Macaca mulatta: one gene and its partners. The protein of the gene in region 1 purifies or fractionates together with the protein of each later gene. This does not show direct contact. Links are inferred from orthologs where the notes say so. Each region holds a gene or a part of one and is shown on either strand. Other genes may lie near its edges.

Region 1 (4,260 bases):
GGGGTTTCACCATGTCGGCCAGGCTGGTCTCCAACTCCTGACCTCAGAGGATCCGGCCACCTCCTCAAGCACTGGGATTACAGGTGTGAGCCACCGTGCCCGGTCCCCCCTTTTTTTTTTTTTTTTTCCTGAGATGAAGTTTTGCTCTTGTTGCCCAGGCTGGAGTGCAATGGTGCGATCTTGGCTCCCTGTAACTTCCACCTACTGGGTTCAAGCATTGAATCGATGTGTTTTTGAAGCCCCAGCCTGCGCACTTCAAGAACCAGCAAGGCCGGGCGCGGTGGCTCACACCTGTAATCCCACCACTTTGGGAGGCCGAGACGGGCGGATCACAAGGTCAGGAGATCGAGACCATCCTGGTTAACACGGTGAAACCCCATCTCTACTAAAAAATACAAAAAATTAGCTGGGCGTGGTGGAGGGTGCCTGTAGTCCCATCTACTCAGGAGGCTGAGGCAGGAGAATGGCATGAACCCTGGAGACAGAGCTTGCAGTGAGCTGAGATCATGCCACTGCATTCCAGCCTGGGCGACAGAGCAAGACCCGTCTCAAAAAAAAAAAAAAGAACCAGTAACGAGAGGTGTCCTCCAACACCCCATTCCCTCAGACCCAGCAGGAAGCAAGTCTGAAGCAGGCACCCTCCTGCCCTATCCCCAGGGTGCTTCCCACCCACTCTGGCCAGGCTCCCACCTTGATCTTCTGTTGATAGATGTTGTCATCTTCAGCATACTCCTTGTATAGGACCGAGAGCTCCAGCCGCTCTGACACCAGAGGGTTCTGCACAGCAATCTGGAGGAGGCAGGGATCCGTCATGTCCCAGCAGGGAGATGGAGTGACCCATGCCTAAGTCAGAATAACTACAAAAGGGCTGGGCTGGTCACCCAGTGACACAGCAACCCCCAGAAAAGCACCAGTACCTAGCATAGCCTAGGGAGGAGGGAGCTTCCAAAGTAGAGACAGACAACAGGCCTCAAGCCCAGCCTATGCATTTCCACAATGGGGCTGCTGGCCACTGCCTCCCTTGCCCACTGCAGCCCCTCACCTCTTGCTGAATTCGGTCCTGCTGAGCCATGATGGCTTCATCATAGGCCAGACAGTTAACACCTGGGAAAAGGAAAAAAGCCAAAGATTACAGGAGGTCCTGGCCGTCTCCACTGCAGGCAGCTGGGCCAGGGACAACAGCAGCCCAGGGGCAGGACGACAGGCTTCGAATCTGGAAACAGGTGTGTTACATTCTGCTCCACCTCCACTGTGTCATCTTGGCAAAGTCCCTTCCCCTTCTGGGCTTTCATTTCCTCATCTTTAAAATGAAGGGGCAGAGGTGCACTGTGGTACCCCTAACGTGCACTCTTCCAGCTCTGACACCCCCTTCCTCCCGTTAACATCACTTCCCAGCAGCCTAGGAATGTTCTGGGGCCAGGCGTGGTCTCTTGCAGAAAGTAGGATGAGGAGGCAGAGTCCTGGGCTGGAGGAGAGCTTCCTGTGAGCCTGCACTTTACTCCATCACCGCCTTCATCCTCTTGCGGTGCTGGATATTGTTAATGGTGCCCATTTTACAATTAACAGAATAAATGCAGAGAGGTGAAGCAATCTGCCCAAGGTCACAACTAGCAAAGACCTGTGGTCAAACCCAGGTTGGTCTAATTCCAGGCTGAGCTCTTCAGCACAATACCTATCCTTGGCTACCACATGGCTGAGACCTTTCCTCAACTGTAAAATGGGGCGAGTACCCCCGCCTTTCTTAGAGGCATACCAGTACGTGCTCTAGGATTATCAGTCAGCTGGGCAGCTCCACCCTGTCGACCCCACTGTGAGCAGCTATCGGTGAGTGGCCAGGACACCTGAATTTGAGTCCTGGCTCTCTCTCAATGTCATCGTGAACAAGTCCCTTCCGGGGCCTAGTTTTCCCACTTCTCATTCCCACAAGTGTTCGGTGAGAGTGAGGTGTGTGTGCTGAATGACTTTTAAGGTCAACCCTTTTGGGGTTCGCCATCCCAAATTCTTGGCTGGGCGTCGACCTCCCCTTTTCGTACTGCTTTGCAAAAGAGCTGTCCCTGCCACCCAATGACCTACGCGGTCCCCAGGGCCCAACTCACAGGCGGGAAAAGACAGTGGGACCATTTTTGAACGGCCCATCTCCTCAGGAGACTAACAATGCCTAGGCAGGTGGAAAGGGGCTGCAAGGCCAGAAGTAGCGGCTCTACCAGAAAAAGTCGCAGGCCTCAGGGACAGATCCCGCAGCCCCTCACATCCCAGGGCCGCCTGCGACATCCCGAACGGCCCGCCCGGACGTTTGTGCTCTGTAGCCCAGCAAAACTTGAGGCCCTCAAGGCGCGGGTCGCCGCTGGAGCAGGTCGGGGGGCTCGGCCCTGGCCTAGGCCTCAGCCTGACTGCGAGGACCGGGGCGGGAGGGCTCGGGGCCCCTGGAGCCGGGAGCCCAGGGGCCGGGCAGAGGGCGGGGCGGCCCAGGCCCCGCCCCGGGCGCGCACGATGGAGAAGGGCCGCCGGCCTTGGCCCGCCTCGCCCGTCCTCCCTCCCGGCCGGGGGTCGCTGCGGTAGCTCCTTCCATTGTGAGGGGGAGGGGAGGCAGCGGAGGTGGAGGAAGGGACCCCCCGCGCACCTCGACCCCAGGGCCGGCGGCCCTGCCTCCCCTCCCTCCTCGGGAGCAGCTGGCCCGGCATCGCCCCCACTAGCCTGGGCCGGACATCCCTCCTTGGAGCTGTACCTTCGGAGTCGCTGCCCAGCGGCTCCTGCTTCTGCTGCTGAGGTTCCTCCGCCGCCATCTTTAAACAGCGCCGCACTGCCGACCGCTTCCGGGTTGCCAATTGCCCTCCTCCCGGAAGTGAGCCCCTCCTCGTGGCCCCGCCTTGGCAACGGCCCTAGCAACGGGATCCCCTTAGGCGTTGTCAAGGAATCGGCTTCCACTCCCGAGGCAGGTGCTAGCACGCCAGGCCCACCGACCTGAGACCTGTAGGAGAGGCCGGCCGCCCCGGGTCCGCATCTCCACCCCACACAGTGGTTTGGCTTCATCTTCCCAGCCTCCCAAAGTTCCCGGTGGTGATTGCAGAGCCTCCTGGAGCCAATTCCGTTTTCTTTTCCCTGGAGTTTGAAACGCGGATCGTGTTATTGAGAGAAGTAGGAAGGTGAAATTAAAATCACCAATGGCAGCATTCCTGCTGCGGGCTTCGGCACGCACTGCATGCGACCACTGCTGCAGTGCGGAGCAGCATCTGGCCCAGGAGACAGGAAGTCGGCCAACGCCAGGGCGCCCGCGGAGCCCCACATCAGTGGCCCCGCGGAGCCTGGGTTCTCTGCCGGCTTTGGTGAGCTGCTTCCGGCAGGGAGACGGCGTCCCTTGGTGTCAAGGCCAAAGCCTCGGACCTAACTTTGGGCTCTGTGTCCTTCTGGTTGTGACAAAGCAGGGCCTTTAAAAAAAAAAAAAGAAAAAGAAAGAAATAAGGAAGAAAAGAAAGGGTCTCACTATGTTGCATAGGGTAGTCTCGAACTCCTGGGCACAAGTGATCTTCGGGCCCTGCCTGAAGAGTAGCTGAGATTCCAGCCACGAGCCACCACTAAAGCAGGGTTTTTATAAAAGCAAAGACTTCACAAAAGAGAAAAATAATGGTTGCCAAGAGTCAAGCAGAGGTGCTGGAGGGAAGTGGATGTGGCTGTGAAAGGGAAAGTCTGGATTGTTGCGAAGGTGGAAATGCGCAATACCCTGACTGTGTCAGTAGTCTGGTGTAGGCTTTACTGCATTTTTGCAAGATGTTAGTGGGGGCAGGGGAGACTGAGTAAAGGATACATGGAATCTTTATAATTTAAGTTCCCTGTGAATTATCTAAAAATTATGTTTAATTTTTGTTTGTTTGTTTGGGTTTTTTTTTTTTTAGAGAGTCTTGCTGTCGCCCAGGCTTTAGTGCAGTGGCGCGATCTCAGCTCACTGCAACCTCCACCTCCCAAGTTCAAGCAGTTCTCCTGCCTCAGCCTCTCGAGTAGCTGGGACCCACGCCCGGCTAATTTTTTGAATTTTTAGTAGAGACGGGGTTTCACCATGTTGGCCAGGCTGGTCTCAATCTCCTGACCTCGCAATCCGCCCACCTTGGTCTCCCAAAGTTTTGGGATTACAGGCATGAGCCACCACGCCCAGCCACGTTTAATTTCTCAAATGGCAAAGATGGCTGGGTCTGGTGGGTTATGCCTGTAATCCCAGCATTTTGGGAGGCCAAGTTGGGAGAATTGCTTGAGCCCAGGAGTTGGAGA
Region 2 (3,991 bases), on another chromosome or scaffold:
AACATGGCTGCTTCCTCTTTGTTCTCAGAGGCATAACCCAAATCCCTTAACAGAAACTTTGCAGCTTTTTTTCTCACTTGCTGCTGCAAATAAGTAAGTCATTTACACTTGATTTGAAAAATACTCATCCACTAGTACTCAGTAAAGAATATAATATCTATTTCAAAACACTTTTTACCAAAGAAATTCTCTTTTCAAGCTTATATGCAAATGAGACAAAAAGGGAGGAGGGAAAGCACTGGAATATTTGACAAGGACTTCGAGTGACTTTTACTGAGGTAAAAATTAACAGGCTACTGCAACAGCACATTAACAGTTCTGACAATATTTTATCTGTCAAAAAAAAAGTTTAAAATTTACAAATATCTTTACTGGTGAAAAACTTTCGAAGACTACATGACATTCTAATTTACCCATTTCTGTTTTCCCTGATCATAGGCACAGCACTTAAATTTAGTAAATATTGACAGAAAGAGAAAATACATAGGCCTGAGTTAAGGGGGAGAAAAGCAGTTCTCTGATTTGATTCAAATTTAAGATGCTTTCAAAACTTTAGACGTGTCTAATATGTTCTGCATCAACACTATACCAAATTGAGAAGGATTTTATATTATGTCAAAGACTGCTGCCATTCAAAAATATTCTCAAGTTATTAATACATCATTACTGAGACAATAAAGGTGAAAATCCATAGAAAAATATGAGTATTTATGAATCACCACAGAATGCAGTATTTGTAGAAATATTTTTTCCTTTAGTTGTGATCAATAAAAATTAACAAAATGTCAACATTGGCTAACGCTGTAGAGATTATACATTTTATGTATAATTACTAGAGTTTGTGGATGTTCCACTACTACTACCACTGACAGAGTCTCATTGACAGAATCTTTTCTTCTCTATCAGAAAATATAAATCAATAGGAAACAAATGATCTTCCACTTACATCCAATTAAATATGTTTCTCCTGCTGTTGAGTATTAACTTGTCAAGCACATCCACAAGTTTCAGAGTGAAGAGGTCCAAGGACAATGAAAGTTTTCTATCACCAGTGACACCTCAAATTGTAAAGGGCTACTTTTCAGTTTGATTTGCCCTCACAAGCACAGGGAGGGATAATCATAATTTAACCACGAAAGTTACCTGTGATACATGATTTAAAGTCATGTTTTGTAAAACTGTAAGCAGATTTGCAGCACGATTTTAAATCTGCTTTCAAACATAGCAAAGGCCTGAATTTGCAATTTTCTAGCAAATATGATCATTTCTGATCATTAAGTTTCATGAAGAGAGGCCCTGCTAATCTCTGGAAGTGTCAATTTCATTAAAGAAGATTATGACTCATAAAAGGAAACATCCCCAAAGTACCATCTAATTTGGGTTCACCAAATTTTCCTTGCCAACTCCTTAAACAATCTGTCAGAATGTTAGTCTAATCTCTACTCAAGGATACTCAACTGAAGTTACCGAAGTACAGAATAAGTTTGCTTAAAAGCATAATTCTAGCAAGGTTGCATACATACCACCTAAAGAATGACAACTCATTCAAGTACAAATAAACTGATAATGAAGTAAATATTTCTGAACTATTGCTACTGATGTAAAACCAACAAAAGCGTCCAACCACCTGGAAGACAACCTGACAAAGTGTGCTGGATCCTTCTTTTACACATTACCTTTTAGCACTAGTGGATAACTTAGCAGTGGTTTTGCTAGAGAGTTTGGTGTTTTTCTTCTGCTGGGCGGCAGAAGGTTTTCTTTCCTCTTGTTCTTCAGGCTCTGGAGCGGCTGGGTCTCGCTGGTCCGCATCTGAACTGCCACTGCTGGTGCTGGGGCTCTCATCATCGGACCTTTGCCTATCACTGGACATCTTGGTGAAGTTATCTCTTGGAAAACTTTTAAAGAGAACAGGGGAGGATGGGGAGAAAATGTTAAATCTAGGAAATAAACCAACAGCATTTTCTTCTATTCATCTAATATCGTATTGTAATGAAAAAGCTTCAAAAGTGTTCACACTTATTTCATCATACAACAAGGGTTACAAGGGAGGTGATGTGTCACACAACGCCAGCGTTCAGGGATTTGCCGAACTCAAGTTAGAAAACCCACTCACATTTTTTTCCATCTCTTGGACAATCTATCAATTGTCTACTTTCTCAGAAGGCATGAAACAGATTTGCCAAGGAACTTAGGCAACAAGCATTAATAACATATGACATACTGTAAATAACAGATCTCGCTGAAAAAATGTTTAAAAGTCACTAATAACGTCTAAATATTTACACACTGACATTGGTCAAAGCTACCAAATTCCCTTTCCGAGAGGAAAACACACCCTGTTAATCGCCCATATGCTTATTTAAGGTGGCGATTCCTTCTCAGTGCACGTAAAGGCTTTAAACACAACACTTGGAAATTTAAAAATCAACTAACGAGCTCCTCTAGCTGTTTCCACCGCCAGCAGCGAAGATTCATCTGGCCAAGACCTAGCTGCCACCCTGGGAAAAGCAGAATTCAAACTGCACCTTCTGCAAAGCTCCCAATGCCACCAAGGTTCCTCGCTCAATTTTTACATCACGGACCGACATTTTGTCCAAAATAACGAAAAAAATAAGAAACCCAGAGGAAAAACAAACAAACAAACAAAGCCCCAAGAAGTGCAACAAATTTCCGCGCCCGCGGAGGCGAGCCGCGGCCGGCGGCGGCGGCCACGCAGCTCCGCGGCCCTTTGTGGGGAGGGCCGCGCGGGGGCCGCGGGCAGCGCTCGCCGCGCCGGGCGCCAAGTGATGCGAGCAGCCCGGCCGGCCCCGCCGCGGCTCGCGGACACCGGCGGCGCGGGCGCCCGGCGCGAACAAAGCTGCCCGCCCCCGCCCCCTCCCCCACCGCAGCCGCCGCCGCCCCGGCCGCCCCCCACGCGGCCCCCCGGCCCCTCCGCCTTACCTCGGCCGCCCGCCCGGCCCGCTCGCGCGCCGCTACGGTGTGGGGGAGGGAGAGAGAAAAAAACCCTTCCTTAAGGAAATGGAGGCAGCTGTGGGGGGGGGAAGGGGGGGGAGGGAAAAAAAGAAGCCGAGGAGGCTCTGGCCGGGGAGTGTGGAACATTGAAAGTCGGAGGGGGTTGTGCAGTGCCGGGCTCCGGCCGGAGGGTGGCGCCGCCCAGCGCCTTCGGAAAAAAGGGGGGGTGGGAGCTCGGCTGGGCGAGGGCGCGAGCTCCCGGCGAGGCGGAGGGGACGCGGGAGACCCCCGCGCGCTGTGGCCTCCCGCCGCCGCCGCCCGGCTCGGCTCCTCCCGGCCGCGCAGTCAGCAAGTTCCGAGGCGAACGCGGGGGGAGGGGCGGGCGCGGCGGCGGCGCGCGTGCTCGCTGCTTGCCTGGCGGAGGGGCGCGCGCCGCCGGCGCCCGGCGGGCGCGAGCTGTTCCCGCGCGCTCCCGCGCGCGCTCCCCGCACCTCCCCTCACCCGGGGGGTGCACGCGTCCGCCCGCGCGCGGCCAGGACAAAGAGCGCGGCGGGGACCTGGCGGGCTGGCCCCTGCCGCCCTTGGCCGCGGAGCCTGTGCCAGAGAAGGCGGGGGCGCGGGCACCGTATCGTGGGGCCGCTGTGCCGCGGGGTGGCTTCCGGCCTGGGCCCGCCTCCGGGCGGAGGCTGCCCATTGGGCTACCCGCGTCCCCAGGGCTAGTTCCATCCCGTTCGCCTGCGTGGGGGACGTCGTGGCTCCCGGGGCCCCAGTACCTGGGAAAGGGCCCTGGGCGCGTGGTTGGGAGTCCCCCGCCGCCCCGGGAGACGGGAGACTAATGGGTGTTGTTGGCGAGGCCAGGCACGCAGGCGGAGAAGAGCTGCCACTTGCCCCTCGTGTAAGCTGGAGGAAGGGACAAGGTGGGGTCCTGGGCATTGAAGAGAGTAGAATATATTTGTTGATTAGGGGACCAACCTCTATTTATTTTTGGCTCACAGCTTGCAACTGTCGCTGCCAAAAGAGACCGTCCTTCGGATGCTTT
Region 3 (3,268 bases), on another chromosome or scaffold:
AGAAGTAGACTTCAAATTTTGTTCAGCTTTTTGGGTGTAGTCATTGTTTGCTAAGTATGTTGTTTAATTATCTTTAGGTACCTATTATGTTGCACTTCAGTTTTTAAGAGAGACTTACGATTTTAAATATTTTAAAGCTTTTAAGTATTTTAAAGCTTACTTTGAGGCAGTGTAGTACTACCAGCTAGCACAAGAGGTCAGCAAACAATTACCTATTCAGACTTGGAAATGTTAATATTTAAAAGATTTAAAATTGCTAAAGATAAAATTAGGAAGTACTGAACTTACCATCAGGGGACATAACATTTTAAATGAAATTGACACAGTCCCTGAGATGGTCAGTGAACACTTTCTAATCAAATTTATTAAACAAGTCTATCTTCTTGACAGCTTTAATTAAAACTGCTTTTATTCACCTTTTTAAAAACTACCTATCTGGGAGTTTTTTTTTCTTTCTTTCTAATTAGGGTCATTCAGTTGAGTATTTAGTAAAAAGTTTGTTTGCTTTTTAACTATTGTTTGACACTTCCTTGTTTTCCTTAGGTTACATTTCGGACAAGAATCTATCATTGTAATATTAACAGTCAAGGTGTTATTTGCTTGGACATATTGAAAGATAATTGGAGTCCAGCACTAACCATTTCTAAAGTCCTCCTTTCTATCTGCTCACTTCTTACAGACTGTAATCCTGGTAAGGTTAATAATTCTTTACCTTGTTTTATTCTTCCTCACCTGAAAAGTACTTGTTTCCAAAAGCTTTCAAAGGACAAAACTAATTTTTCTGCAAAACTTTATGAATATAAAAACTAATCTGCTTTTCAAAGAAAGTTTTAATCGAGAAGTTCAGTCTACTAGTTGAGACATACAACTTCATTAATCAGTATATTCTAGCAACAAGGTATTTTAAACTGAAGACGAAGTTTGCCTTGGGCTTTTACAGTTTCAGTTATTCTTCCCTCTATTTTTTTTTCCTGTTGCTTAATTTCCCATATAGTTCTTATAAAACAAATCATACACTTCTAAATGCCAAGTCATCTGCCTGGCAAGCCTCACCTTGCCTGTGGGGTTCAGTGGGCATGTGCCCATAGCTGGTCACTGAGATGGCACTCAGTTTTGAAAATGGTATTTGTTAAATACTTAGTGACTATTGAATTGTGACTTTTTTGGGACTTCATTTCATTTAAAAAATATTTTTCTGTAGTCCCAGCTACTAGGGTGGCTGAGGTGGCAGGATTGTTTGAACCCAGAAGGTCAAGGCTGCAGTGAGCCATGAGCATGCCGCTGCACAGAACTCCAGCCTGGGTGGCAAAGTGAGACCCTGTCTCAAAAAAAAAAAAAAAAAAATGTGTGTATATATATATAAATATATATATGTGTGTCTATACACACATATATTATTTATTTTATTTTCTAGGTAAACCAAATATAAATTTAGTTATTAAAGATCCTAAGATTCAGAGAAATACTATACTTAATTGGAGGTCCAGGTTTTGCCTGGCAACCTGGCTCTTTAACCAGTGTAAAGGTAAATAGTGTTGCATTGCAACAGCCCCGAAGACTTCACAGTATTCACAATGCCATAACTGGTGACACTGAGCTAAGGGTCACATCAACACAGTTGGATGTTCATTGTAGTCTGGAGCCTTGACCGTTCCAGTCTCCACTGAACTCAGCCTAACACATAAGAGTAAAGAAACTCCAATCGGGTGTTGTTTATTGGGAGAAAAATGGAATGAACTAAGATACAGACAGACCAGTAAACTAAAGCCTGAGCATTCCCTCTTCCTCCCATGTTACGATTTTTAAATTTTTGATGGAAAAATATCCGGCATAGTGGAGTGGTGTTTCGAAGATGGGTTTGATCACACATACTTGGTTGTACATGTCTGCCCAAGCTGTCACTAATGTATTTGCTAAAGTTTAAAATGTTCTTTTCCTTTCTCCAAAGTAATCTACATTCTTTTCTTCCAGCCGACCCCTTGGTGGGAAGTATTGCCACTCAGTATATGACCAACAGAGCAGAACATGACAGAATGGCCAGACAGTGGACCAAGAGATACGCTACATAAACTGGGTTTTCACAATTCTTACATTATTTGTCACAGAAGAGAGCTGCTTATGATTCTGAAGGGGTCAGGGAGGGTGGGAGTTGGTAAAGAGTAGGGTATTTCTATAACAGATATTATTCAGTCTTATTTCCTAAGATTTTGTTGTAACTTAAGGTATCTTGCTACAGTAGACAGAATTGGTAATAGCAACTTTTAAAATTGTCATTAGTTCTGCAATATTAGCTGAAATGTAGTACAGAAAAGAATGTACATTTAGACATTTGGGTTCAGTTGCTTGTAGTCTGTAAATTTAAAACAGCTTAATTTTGTACAGGTTACACATATGGCCATTTATGTAAAGTCCCTCTAAGACTACATACTTTTTGTTTAAAACAAAATTGGAATTTGTTTTCCCTTCTTGGAAGGGAACATTGATATTTAACAGAGTTTTTAGAGACTGTCATCTCATATATATAAAATGGACACGTGGCTGTAAGACACCATATAGGAGATGAGTAATGTGTTTTATTTTATATGCCAATCTACTTTGTTTAAAAAAGGTTTAAATCAGGACTTGTGAAAACCTGTAGTGAAATACCTTAAGCTGTTAACTGTAAGGCGTGGAATAGGAGTTGCTCAGTGGATTGGTTATATGTTGTGGACTACTTAAGTCTGCATTTGTTACTGTGCTAATAAACAATATTAAAAACCGCCTAATACTGCTGTGTTCATTTACTTTTATTTTGCCTTTTGGTTGCTGTTTGCAGATTCTTCTGAAATCGATAGGTATCTGCTTCTAAAACAAGCTAAAAATAATGCATATTTAGTAGGTATTATTTACCCATATTAGGATCTGTACTTTACACAGCTGTAGATGTTGAGGTATCCTAGACAAGGTTAAATAATCTACCCCATTTAGGCTTCAAAGACGAACCCTACTGCATTTTTTTTTAAAGCGTTTTCTGACTTGCAGATGCTGTAGTAGCAAGTACATGGGAAATGGGTTCTGTCAGGGATAAACTGGTACACTGCCGTAGGGGGCATTTTGGCAGTACCTAAGTATACACATGGCATGACCCAGCAGTGCTGTTTCTGTGTGTCTTTCATTACAGAATTTAAAAAGAATTGGTAACTCTGTCTGTACTAATATAGACTAAGTTGCATTAGCAGGAAACAAACTGGAAGGTACTTATTTAAAAATCATTATGAAAGCATTTGTC
Region 4 (4,248 bases), on another chromosome or scaffold:
AAGCTTCTGGTAACTTAAGTGACAAATGCAATGCAAATAAAGATAAGTAGATTAATACAAAAGCACACTCCCTTCAATTATTAATCAAAGAACACCAGCTCAAGTGTAATGTTAGCTAGTCTCCTTAGCTGTTTCTCTCTTTTTATTGTTCTTGAGCTTCTGCTTAAGATGATATGTAATACTTATGCATAAGCATATTTTCATAGTGCAAGTCAACATCACTTTAACTAGTTCAATACTCATACTGATCTATTTTATTACATCTGAATAATCTTTTATTATGTGCAAAAATTGAATCCCATAGTGGAAGCTGCATGCACATAAGTATGCAAAGTCCAGTAAACTGGTTGTGGTTTTTCTGGTTAGATATTGATTTATTCTGAATATATAAAGTGCTGTAGGAAGATTTAAAGACTGAGGTGCACAAAGTCATTTAAGATGATCAACAATTAGGTTTCTCTTCATCTACAAGTGCATACACCAGAGCTATTTTAAAGTTAATAGGGCTAAGGGTACTATTAGAGTTTCTCGTAATGGTATTACTCCAGATTATTTTATAAAGATGGGAAGTAATACTGGGAAATAATGATACACAATTGTTACTGACTATTTAATAAAGCACAAGTTAGTCATATAAATAATACCACAAACTCTTTCTAAAAACCCCAAATAATTCCTCTATAAATCTTTCTATACTATGACCTTGTTTTAACAAGTTTTATTTAAAATAAATAAATAACTTCTTCCTAAAAATGGAATTTGAGGACCAGGAGCAGTGTCACTGCTCATGCCTGTAATTCCAGCACTTTGGGAGACTGAGGCAGATGGATCATGAGGTCAGGAGATTGAGACCAACCTGGCTAACACAATGAAACCCCATCTCTACAAAAATACAAAAAATTTGCCAAACGTGGTGGCGCACACCTCTAGTACCAGCTACTCAGGAGGCTGAGGCAGGAGAATTGCTTGAACCTGGGAGACGGAGGCTGCAGTGAGCCGAGATCACACCACTGCACTCCAGCCTCAGCAACAGAGCGGGGCTCCATCTCAAAAAAAAAAAAAAAAAAAAAAAAGGAATTTGAGTTATCTAGATGAGCGTCAAACCAATGATTTAAAACATCACAAGGCCTGAGTGGAAAGAATGAATGGATTGGTACACATGGGAACAAGAGTTAGTACTTGTTAGTTAGTCCTAGAGTTAGTGTTAGTACTTGTTAGTGTTAGTCCTAGAGTTAAGACAAAGAGCAACTTTAAAGTATAGAATCTTTCCCAAGAAGAGTAAACAAATCTTCATAGCATAAATCAAATTTAATGTTTGACAGTTCACCAGTTTCTATCATCTTTACAACAAACTCAGGTAGCTCTCTAGTAATTTGCCTATTTCATAAGGGGCATTTATTTATCTCTTTATTATTAATTCTCAAATCAACAGAAGAGACATAAATTTTGAAGAAAAATTCATAATTATACTTCTACCAGTTCCCTTCGGATTAATTCAGTGAACAGGTGGACAAATTATCTGTGTCCCTGGAGAACAAGTGAAATATAAATGATAAAAACAGATCTGGGCAAGCACAGAAAACTAACACCCAACTGAAGTTTTAAAACTTATATTGCAAAAGTGTATGGGTATTGAGAAGAGATGAAAGGTTGAAAAGTAATTTGAAATTTGCTCAGGCCATTGCAATATGCCCCGTTATGATAGGGATTGAGTTATGCGCCATCATACATTTCTCTCTCATGCCAAGGACTTTTGAAAGGATATTAAGAGGTGACAAGCATATGAACTTAAAAAATATTTTTAAAAAGACTGCCACCCATTTGTTAGGCTAATAAAAAGTCAGTAAGGCTTCTGCTGAACACTCCGTTCTATGTCTAAATAGGCCATGCCAGGTGTTTCATTCAACATGCCAGCTGCCAGAGTGCCCAAGCTAAGCACAACTGCCCGGCACAGAAAGTGTGCATGTTTTTTACTGGGTCATGAAAGTTAGTCTTTGCTCTCATCCCACAGGGAAAAGTCAGAAAATAGCCTGTCTTAGTCAGGAAAAGAAAGTACAGCCTGTAGGAAACAATTTGAGGGCGTTCCAGATCACACCAACAGTGGATTCTGCGTCTGGGTAGTTCACGTACCTGAACAAAAATTTTAAAAATTTGGTGTGGCCTTTGCCATCCATTCACTCCTCAAAAATGATCATTTGCTTTCCCAGAAAGCAAGCTTTCCAGTCCCACAGCCACGCCCCCTCCCCCCCGAGAAAAAGTTGCACTCACCAAATAGTGACAGGACCCCACACACCGTCCAGATGGTCAGAGACATGCCCACGCTGCCTGTGTTCTGGAGCACGCCCTTAGGAGAGATGAAGATTCCTGCTCCAATGATGGTGCCAATGATAATGGAGATTCCCCTCAGTAAAGTGACTTTCCTCTTCAGCTGCACTTTCTCCTGCCCAGGTGGCTCCTTGTTGCCCAGGGAAGGCAGCCTCCTGTTAACATTTCCCTGCAGGTAACCTCCTTTGGAGATGGTGGACACAACAGGCTTTCTGACCATAGTAGGGGCACACGGGGGAAAAATAAAACAGAGGGAAAGAAAACAAAACTTTCAACTTTGGTGTCTCTTGGTGTTACTGATCGAGGTCTTCCTCTTTGCTTTCTTTGCTTTCAGACTGTCTTTCTCAGCCCTATAGTGTTCACAGGTAAAAACCCAAAGGTGTGCTTTATCCTTCACAGCGGCTAATTACTAATCAGAAACACCTGTGTATGCATCGTGCTCCCAGTTCTCCACCTCCTCGTTCTACCGCTGCTGCTGCTGCTGCTGCCGCCCTATCATTACAAACCAGCTCAGCTTCCTCATGGGCTTGTATTTAAGCGCCTGCCTGTCACACCAACTTACTACAGCTAAATGATGATGCAAATTCTCCAGGTTTGCATCAGCCACATGAGAAGGCTCCAGCATTACTCAGCTCTTTTTTTTTTCAAAAAAAAAAAAAAAAACAGGAGGAGCTTGTTGCTCAACTGACCTAAGCTTTTTAGAGAACAAAGCACACATTTTAAAGAGACTTTGGCCAATCCAGAAGTAGTAAATTCGGAACAGACCTTCCCAGAGATTTAAAGCAACTCGTAGTGAGCAACAAAAGCTGTTCAAACAAAATGAAACAGGAAATAGTTACTTCATTTTAAGGAGTTTCTTTTTCTTTAATGCATGTATAAAAACATTTTACACGTGACTGTTTTGTGAGTAGAATGTATCCTAAAGCTGCATTTTTTATAACAACACAGTTTGAGTTTCATAATTTGTGTAATGCTTATTTTTATTTTTTATTTTGAGTTTCTTATAAGGCAATACAGTCAAATCTAACATTTACAAAATTAAAAAGATTCTACACTTTATACTGTGTCACATACATACAACTGTAAGCCTTCCTCAACATTAAAAGATAAAATTATTTCTTACTACTCATAATAAACCAACATTTTAAATCACATCGGCGTGTGACAAATATAAAATTCACCATGACTCCAGAAAATAGTCATTTTCTGATTCTCATTAGCACAAGGTGATTTTTTTAACTAATGTAAAAGATACATATTGTTCCTTTGAATTACCAAAAAAATTTTCTAAGTTCAAAATTACACAATTACAATTACATAAAAATATGCATATAGCAAAAGACTGTAAAGGAAAACACAGAATAGTAGTTACAGAAAGTAATGATATTATGTATGACTTTTTCCACATTATATAAACTATTGTTATATTATGATTATAAATTTAAAATGCATTAAACATGTAAGCTAAGATTAAAATATTTACTTTGTAATTGTCAAAAAGGCAAAACATTTTTAAACCCTTCTAACTTTCTCAACCAAGTGTCAAGAAAAAATAAATACGAAAAGAAAAGAAATCCTAGATATCATTTTTGGCTATAGTTACATGTGGTTTTGAATGCAGTGAGAAGAATTGAATGTTATCATTACCCTGAAGCTAGCTTTATATGCACCATTAAATATGCTTCTGAACCTTTGAACAAAAACCACAAACAAAAAGCCTGTGTGCGAGAGGTTGGCAGGGAAAGAAGGGAGTCAAGTATGGTCAGGATGATCAAAGAAGGAAATAAGAAATTGCCATTAGGAAAGTAGCATCGAAAAGGTCAGACCATTTTCTGTTGTGTTGGCACCTGAGAAAATGACACCACCTCAATGCTTTGCCATCCAAATAATTGAGGCAACATTTTCTCCTTTTTAAATTATCTA
Region 5 (3,513 bases), on another chromosome or scaffold:
TTTAGTGTAACATCAATGCTTTGAGAATCAAAGTACATACTCAAACTTTCCTGAGAAATTACAACTGGAAGGGACTGGATTTTCTCCAAATTCAACAAAATGAATGATGACAAAACCAGTTTCTTATTGGCTAGGGTCTAGGCTAGATCATCTCCAAGATCCTTCCCAACTCTAAAATTGTATTCTATGAGATAGCGGTCTCAGATGAGTTTGTTTCTAGTACCATCCTATGGGATAAAGGTTTCTCTAGATATTCTTTAAGGGCTTGGGTTGGGGTAGTTCTCATGAACTCTTTTGTGTCATTCCCTTTGTCATAATCCTCAGGTTGAGGAACCTTCGAGACCATCAATGTCCTGGCAGAACTCTGTGTCTGAGCGGCCACCCTACTCTTACATGGCCATGATACAATTCGCCATCAACAGCACTGAGAGGAAGCGCATGACCTTGAAAGACATCTATACTTGGATAGAGGACCACTTTCCCTATTTTAAGCACATTGCCAAGCCAGGCTGGAAGGTAATATGTCCCAATGCAACCAAAATCAAGGTCAGTCCAGCCTGACAGACTGTCTCCAGTGCTGTGCTGCAACTTGTATCTGGGACAGCAGTTAAGTGCAAAGGATACTAGAATGATAAACGTATCTTTTGGGTTGTGACTCAATCTTATTGAATCCAGGCAAAATCATTAACAAGAGCTCTTTAACTACTTCATCTGTTACTACCTAAAGTTCACGAAGAGTCTTCCATGTAGCACTCAAGCCCACTTTTCTGCTACACTGAACAGCAGTCCTAGATGCCAGCAGCTAGAGTGGCTAAGTAGTTTTATGAAAATGTCTTGATTAAAAAAAAAGAATGCTGTGAACCTTATGACCCAAGACGTCATCTCCTATAGCATCACATACCATTTCTAGTGGGCAGGGGTTTTCCTTTCACTTCATTCATGGAAAGACCAAGATGCCTGGGAGTCAGTGTAGCTCATGCAGTTGGTCAGTGTCAGAGCCACAAATGAGGTCTTCTCACGGGTGCTCAGTTCCAAGCCAAGTGTGCTTTGTTTTCCTCATGGTAGAACTCTTTCTTTTTTTTTTTTTTTTGAGACAGAGTCTCGCTCTGTCGCCCAGGCTGGAGTGCAATGGCAGATCTCAGGTCACTGCAACCTTCACCTACAAGGTTCAAGCGATTCTCCTGCCTCAGCCTCCCAAGTAGCTGGGACTACAGGCATGCACCACCACACCTGGCTAATTTTTTTGTATTTTTAGTAGAGACGGGTTTCACCATGTTGGTCAGGCTGGTCTCGAACTCCTAACATCAAATGATCCGCCCGTCTCGGCCTCCCAAAGTGCTGGGTTACAGGCATGAGCCACTGCACCTGGCCCCTCATGGTAGAACTCTTAACTTTACTCCCTTCCATCAGCTTACTTTCCTAGTTTTTTTTTGTTTGGTTGGTTTTTTGAGACAGGGTCTCACTCTGTTGCCTGGGCTGGAATACAGCCTTAGCCCCTTGGGCTCAAGCTCTTCCCTCCTCAACCTCCCAAGTAGTTGGGATAACAGGTGCACTACCACAGTCCACTAATTTTTTTTGTTGTTGTTGTAAAGGCAGTTGCCCAGGCTGGTTATTATGTTGCCCAGGCTGGTCTGAACTCCTAGTCTCAAGCACTCCTCCTGCCTTAGCCTCTCAGTGCACTGTGATTACAGGTGTGAGCCCCCACACCCAGCCTTAATTTCCTAGTTTCCTGTTTGCTTGTTTGTTTGTTTGAGGCAGGGCCTCACTCTGTCAGGCTGGAGTGCAGTGACACGATCTTGGCTTGCTTCATTCTCTGCCTCCCAGGTTCAAGTGATTCTCCTGCCTCAGCCCCCCGACTAGTTGGGACTACAGGCATGCGCTACCATGCCTGGCTAATTTTTATATTTTTGACAGAGACAGGGTTTTGCCATGTTTGCTAGGCTGGTCTCAAACTCCTGGCCTCAAGTGATCCACTCGCCTCGGCCTCCCACAGTGCTGGGATTATAGGCGTGAGCCACCACGCCAGGCCTAATTCCCTAGTTTCTTAATTTCTCTGACCCACCTGTCTTGCTATTGATCACTGCCTCACAGCCTTACTCTGCTTTTCTAGCCCCTGACAGCTATCCAGGTCTTTTCTTTATCACAATCTAAGGTTGACATCAGTCTTTGTTCCCGTAGAATAGATGGGTTTATGGCTGAGGGTGACAGCTCTGCGGTGTGGAGTGTGAGGAGAGTTGCCGAGAGACAGGGCTACAAAGACACCAGAGGAGCCTGTGCTAAGCACAGTGGGAGGGGCCTGAGGCTGGTTTCCCCATGTGTTTGAAGGGTGATGTTTCTGAACCTAAAGTAACTGATAACCAGTTGTCTTGCTCTTCTTCCAGAACTCCATCCGCCACAACCTTTCCCTGCATGACATGTTTGTCCGGGAGACGTCTGCCAATGGCAAGGTCTCCTTCTGGACCATTCACCCCAGTGCCAACCGCTACTTGACATTGGACCAGGTGTTTAAGGTGAATGCCCTGCTTTTCTCTAAATAGGGCCTAAGTTGGAGGTCGTCATAGCCATCTCAAAAGGAAACAAGTTCTGCTAGTGATGCTTTCATTTGATCGGGGGAGAGTTAGAAGCCAGCCAATTAGTGACTTGCACAAAACCCACTGAATTAAGTACAGTTGACAAATACCAAATGACACATTTTTGTGCTAGACCAGAGCAAGGAGAGGGCTGTTCTGACCCAACAGAGAGGGCTTCCCAGGGCAGTGTTTTCCTAACTTCCCTGTGAATGGGAATTGCCTGGGACATTGTTAAAACACAGCTTCCCAGACCCCTCTCTTGGGGCTCTTGATTTAGTGCTTCTGGGATGGGCCCAGGAATTTGTATTTTTAGCAAGCATCTCAGATGATTCTTCCAAGAAATTCTGGGAATGCTTGCTCTAAAAAAAGCCCTTCCTGCCGGGTGCGGTGGCTCACGCCTGTGATCCCAGCACTTTGGGAGGCCGAGGCAGGTGGATCACCTGAGGTCGGGAGTTCGGCCTGACCAACATGGAGAAACCCCGTCTCTACTAAAAATACAAAATTAGCCGGGTGTGGTGGCGCATGCCTGTAATCCCAGCTACCTGGGAGGCTGAGGCAAGAGAATCCCTTCAACCCAGGAGGCAGACGTGGTGGAGAGCCGAAATCGTACTACTGCACTCCAGCCTGGGCAGTAAGAGTGAAACTCCGTCAAAAAAAAAAAAAAAGCCCTTCCTTAGGCTGCAGACCAGAAGCTGAGCTACTAGAACGTCTCTTTAGACAGAAGCTATTTTGGCATTTCAGAGTGCCTACAAGGCTGCAGCCATTCTCCTGGGAGGGACGGTTGTCTGGGGTGTCTTTTGTCATCGGTCAGGAATAGGTGTTTTTCCCGATCTGGTCCAATTGACCACGTTGGTGGTAACTTCATCTCCTTTCTCTCCCACAATGCCTGGCCGCCACCAGCCACTGGACCCAGGGTCTCCACAATTGCCCGAGCACTTGGAAT

What was found.
Region 2: the proteins of OTUB1 (region 1) and UBE2E3 purify together in Homo sapiens (affinity purification with mass spectrometry; 3 studies listed by BioGRID and IntAct, counting the BioPlex papers as one, with this or other methods). This does not show direct contact. The link is inferred for Macaca mulatta from reciprocal best matches to the Homo sapiens genes OTUB1 and UBE2E3.
Region 3: the proteins of OTUB1 (region 1) and UBE2E1 purify together in Homo sapiens (affinity purification with mass spectrometry; 4 studies listed by BioGRID and IntAct, with this or other methods). This does not show direct contact. The link is inferred for Macaca mulatta from reciprocal best matches to the Homo sapiens genes OTUB1 and UBE2E1.
Region 4: the proteins of OTUB1 (region 1) and SLC7A11 purify together in Homo sapiens (affinity purification with western blotting; 5 studies listed by BioGRID, with this or other methods). This does not show direct contact. The link is inferred for Macaca mulatta from reciprocal best matches to the Homo sapiens genes OTUB1 and SLC7A11.
Region 5: the proteins of OTUB1 (region 1) and FOXM1 purify together in Homo sapiens (affinity purification with western blotting; 4 studies listed by BioGRID, with this or other methods). This does not show direct contact. The link is inferred for Macaca mulatta from reciprocal best matches to the Homo sapiens genes OTUB1 and FOXM1.

Annotation. Positions count from the first base shown.
Region 1 is NC_133419.1:10,420,515-10,424,774, forward strand, and holds the start of OTUB1 (ubiquitin thioesterase OTUB1), read right to left. Parts: upstream 2,803-4,260; 5' UTR 2,784-2,802; coding exon 2,621-2,783; intron 1,105-2,620; coding exon 1,043-1,104; intron 790-1,042; coding exon 691-789; intron 281-690; exon of another isoform or gene 110-280; intron 1-109. UniProt on the Homo sapiens protein: Hydrolase that can specifically remove 'Lys-48'-linked conjugated ubiquitin from proteins and plays an important regulatory role at the level of protein turnover by preventing degradation.
Region 2 is NC_133417.1:85,866,752-85,870,742, reverse strand, and holds the start of UBE2E3 (ubiquitin-conjugating enzyme E2 E3), read right to left. Parts: upstream 2,526-3,991; intron 2,096-2,525; coding exon of another isoform or gene 2,053-2,095; intron 1,896-2,052; 5' UTR 1,871-1,895; coding exon 1,677-1,870; intron 1-1,676. Other genes in the region: uncharacterized protein LOC144333280, read left to right, coding at 2,053-2,095, 2,616-3,847. UniProt on the Homo sapiens protein: Accepts ubiquitin from the E1 complex and catalyzes its covalent attachment to other proteins. In vitro catalyzes 'Lys-11'- and 'Lys-48'-, as well as 'Lys-63'-linked polyubiquitination.
Region 3 is NC_133407.1:24,593,377-24,596,644, reverse strand, and holds the end of UBE2E1 (ubiquitin-conjugating enzyme E2 E1), read left to right. Parts: intron 1-543; coding exon 544-691; coding exon of another isoform or gene 692-810; exon of another isoform or gene 811-1,338; intron 1,339-1,971; coding exon 1,972-2,069; 3' UTR 2,070-2,765; downstream 2,766-3,268. UniProt on the Homo sapiens protein: Accepts ubiquitin from the E1 complex and catalyzes its covalent attachment to other proteins. Catalyzes the covalent attachment of ISG15 to other proteins. Mediates the selective degradation of short-lived and abnormal proteins.
Region 4 is NC_133410.1:147,102,734-147,106,981, forward strand, and holds the start of SLC7A11 (cystine/glutamate transporter), read right to left. Parts: upstream 2,808-4,248; 5' UTR 2,546-2,807; coding exon 2,269-2,545; intron 1-2,268. UniProt on the Homo sapiens protein: Heterodimer with SLC3A2, that functions as an antiporter by mediating the exchange of extracellular anionic L-cystine and intracellular L-glutamate across the cellular plasma membrane.
Region 5 is NC_133416.1:3,761,678-3,765,190, reverse strand, and holds part of FOXM1 (forkhead box protein M1), read left to right. Parts: intron 1-324; coding exon 325-516; intron 517-2,381; coding exon 2,382-2,510; intron 2,511-3,470; coding exon 3,471-3,513. UniProt on the Homo sapiens protein: Transcription factor regulating the expression of cell cycle genes essential for DNA replication and mitosis. Plays a role in the control of cell proliferation. Also plays a role in DNA break repair, participating in the DNA damage checkpoint response.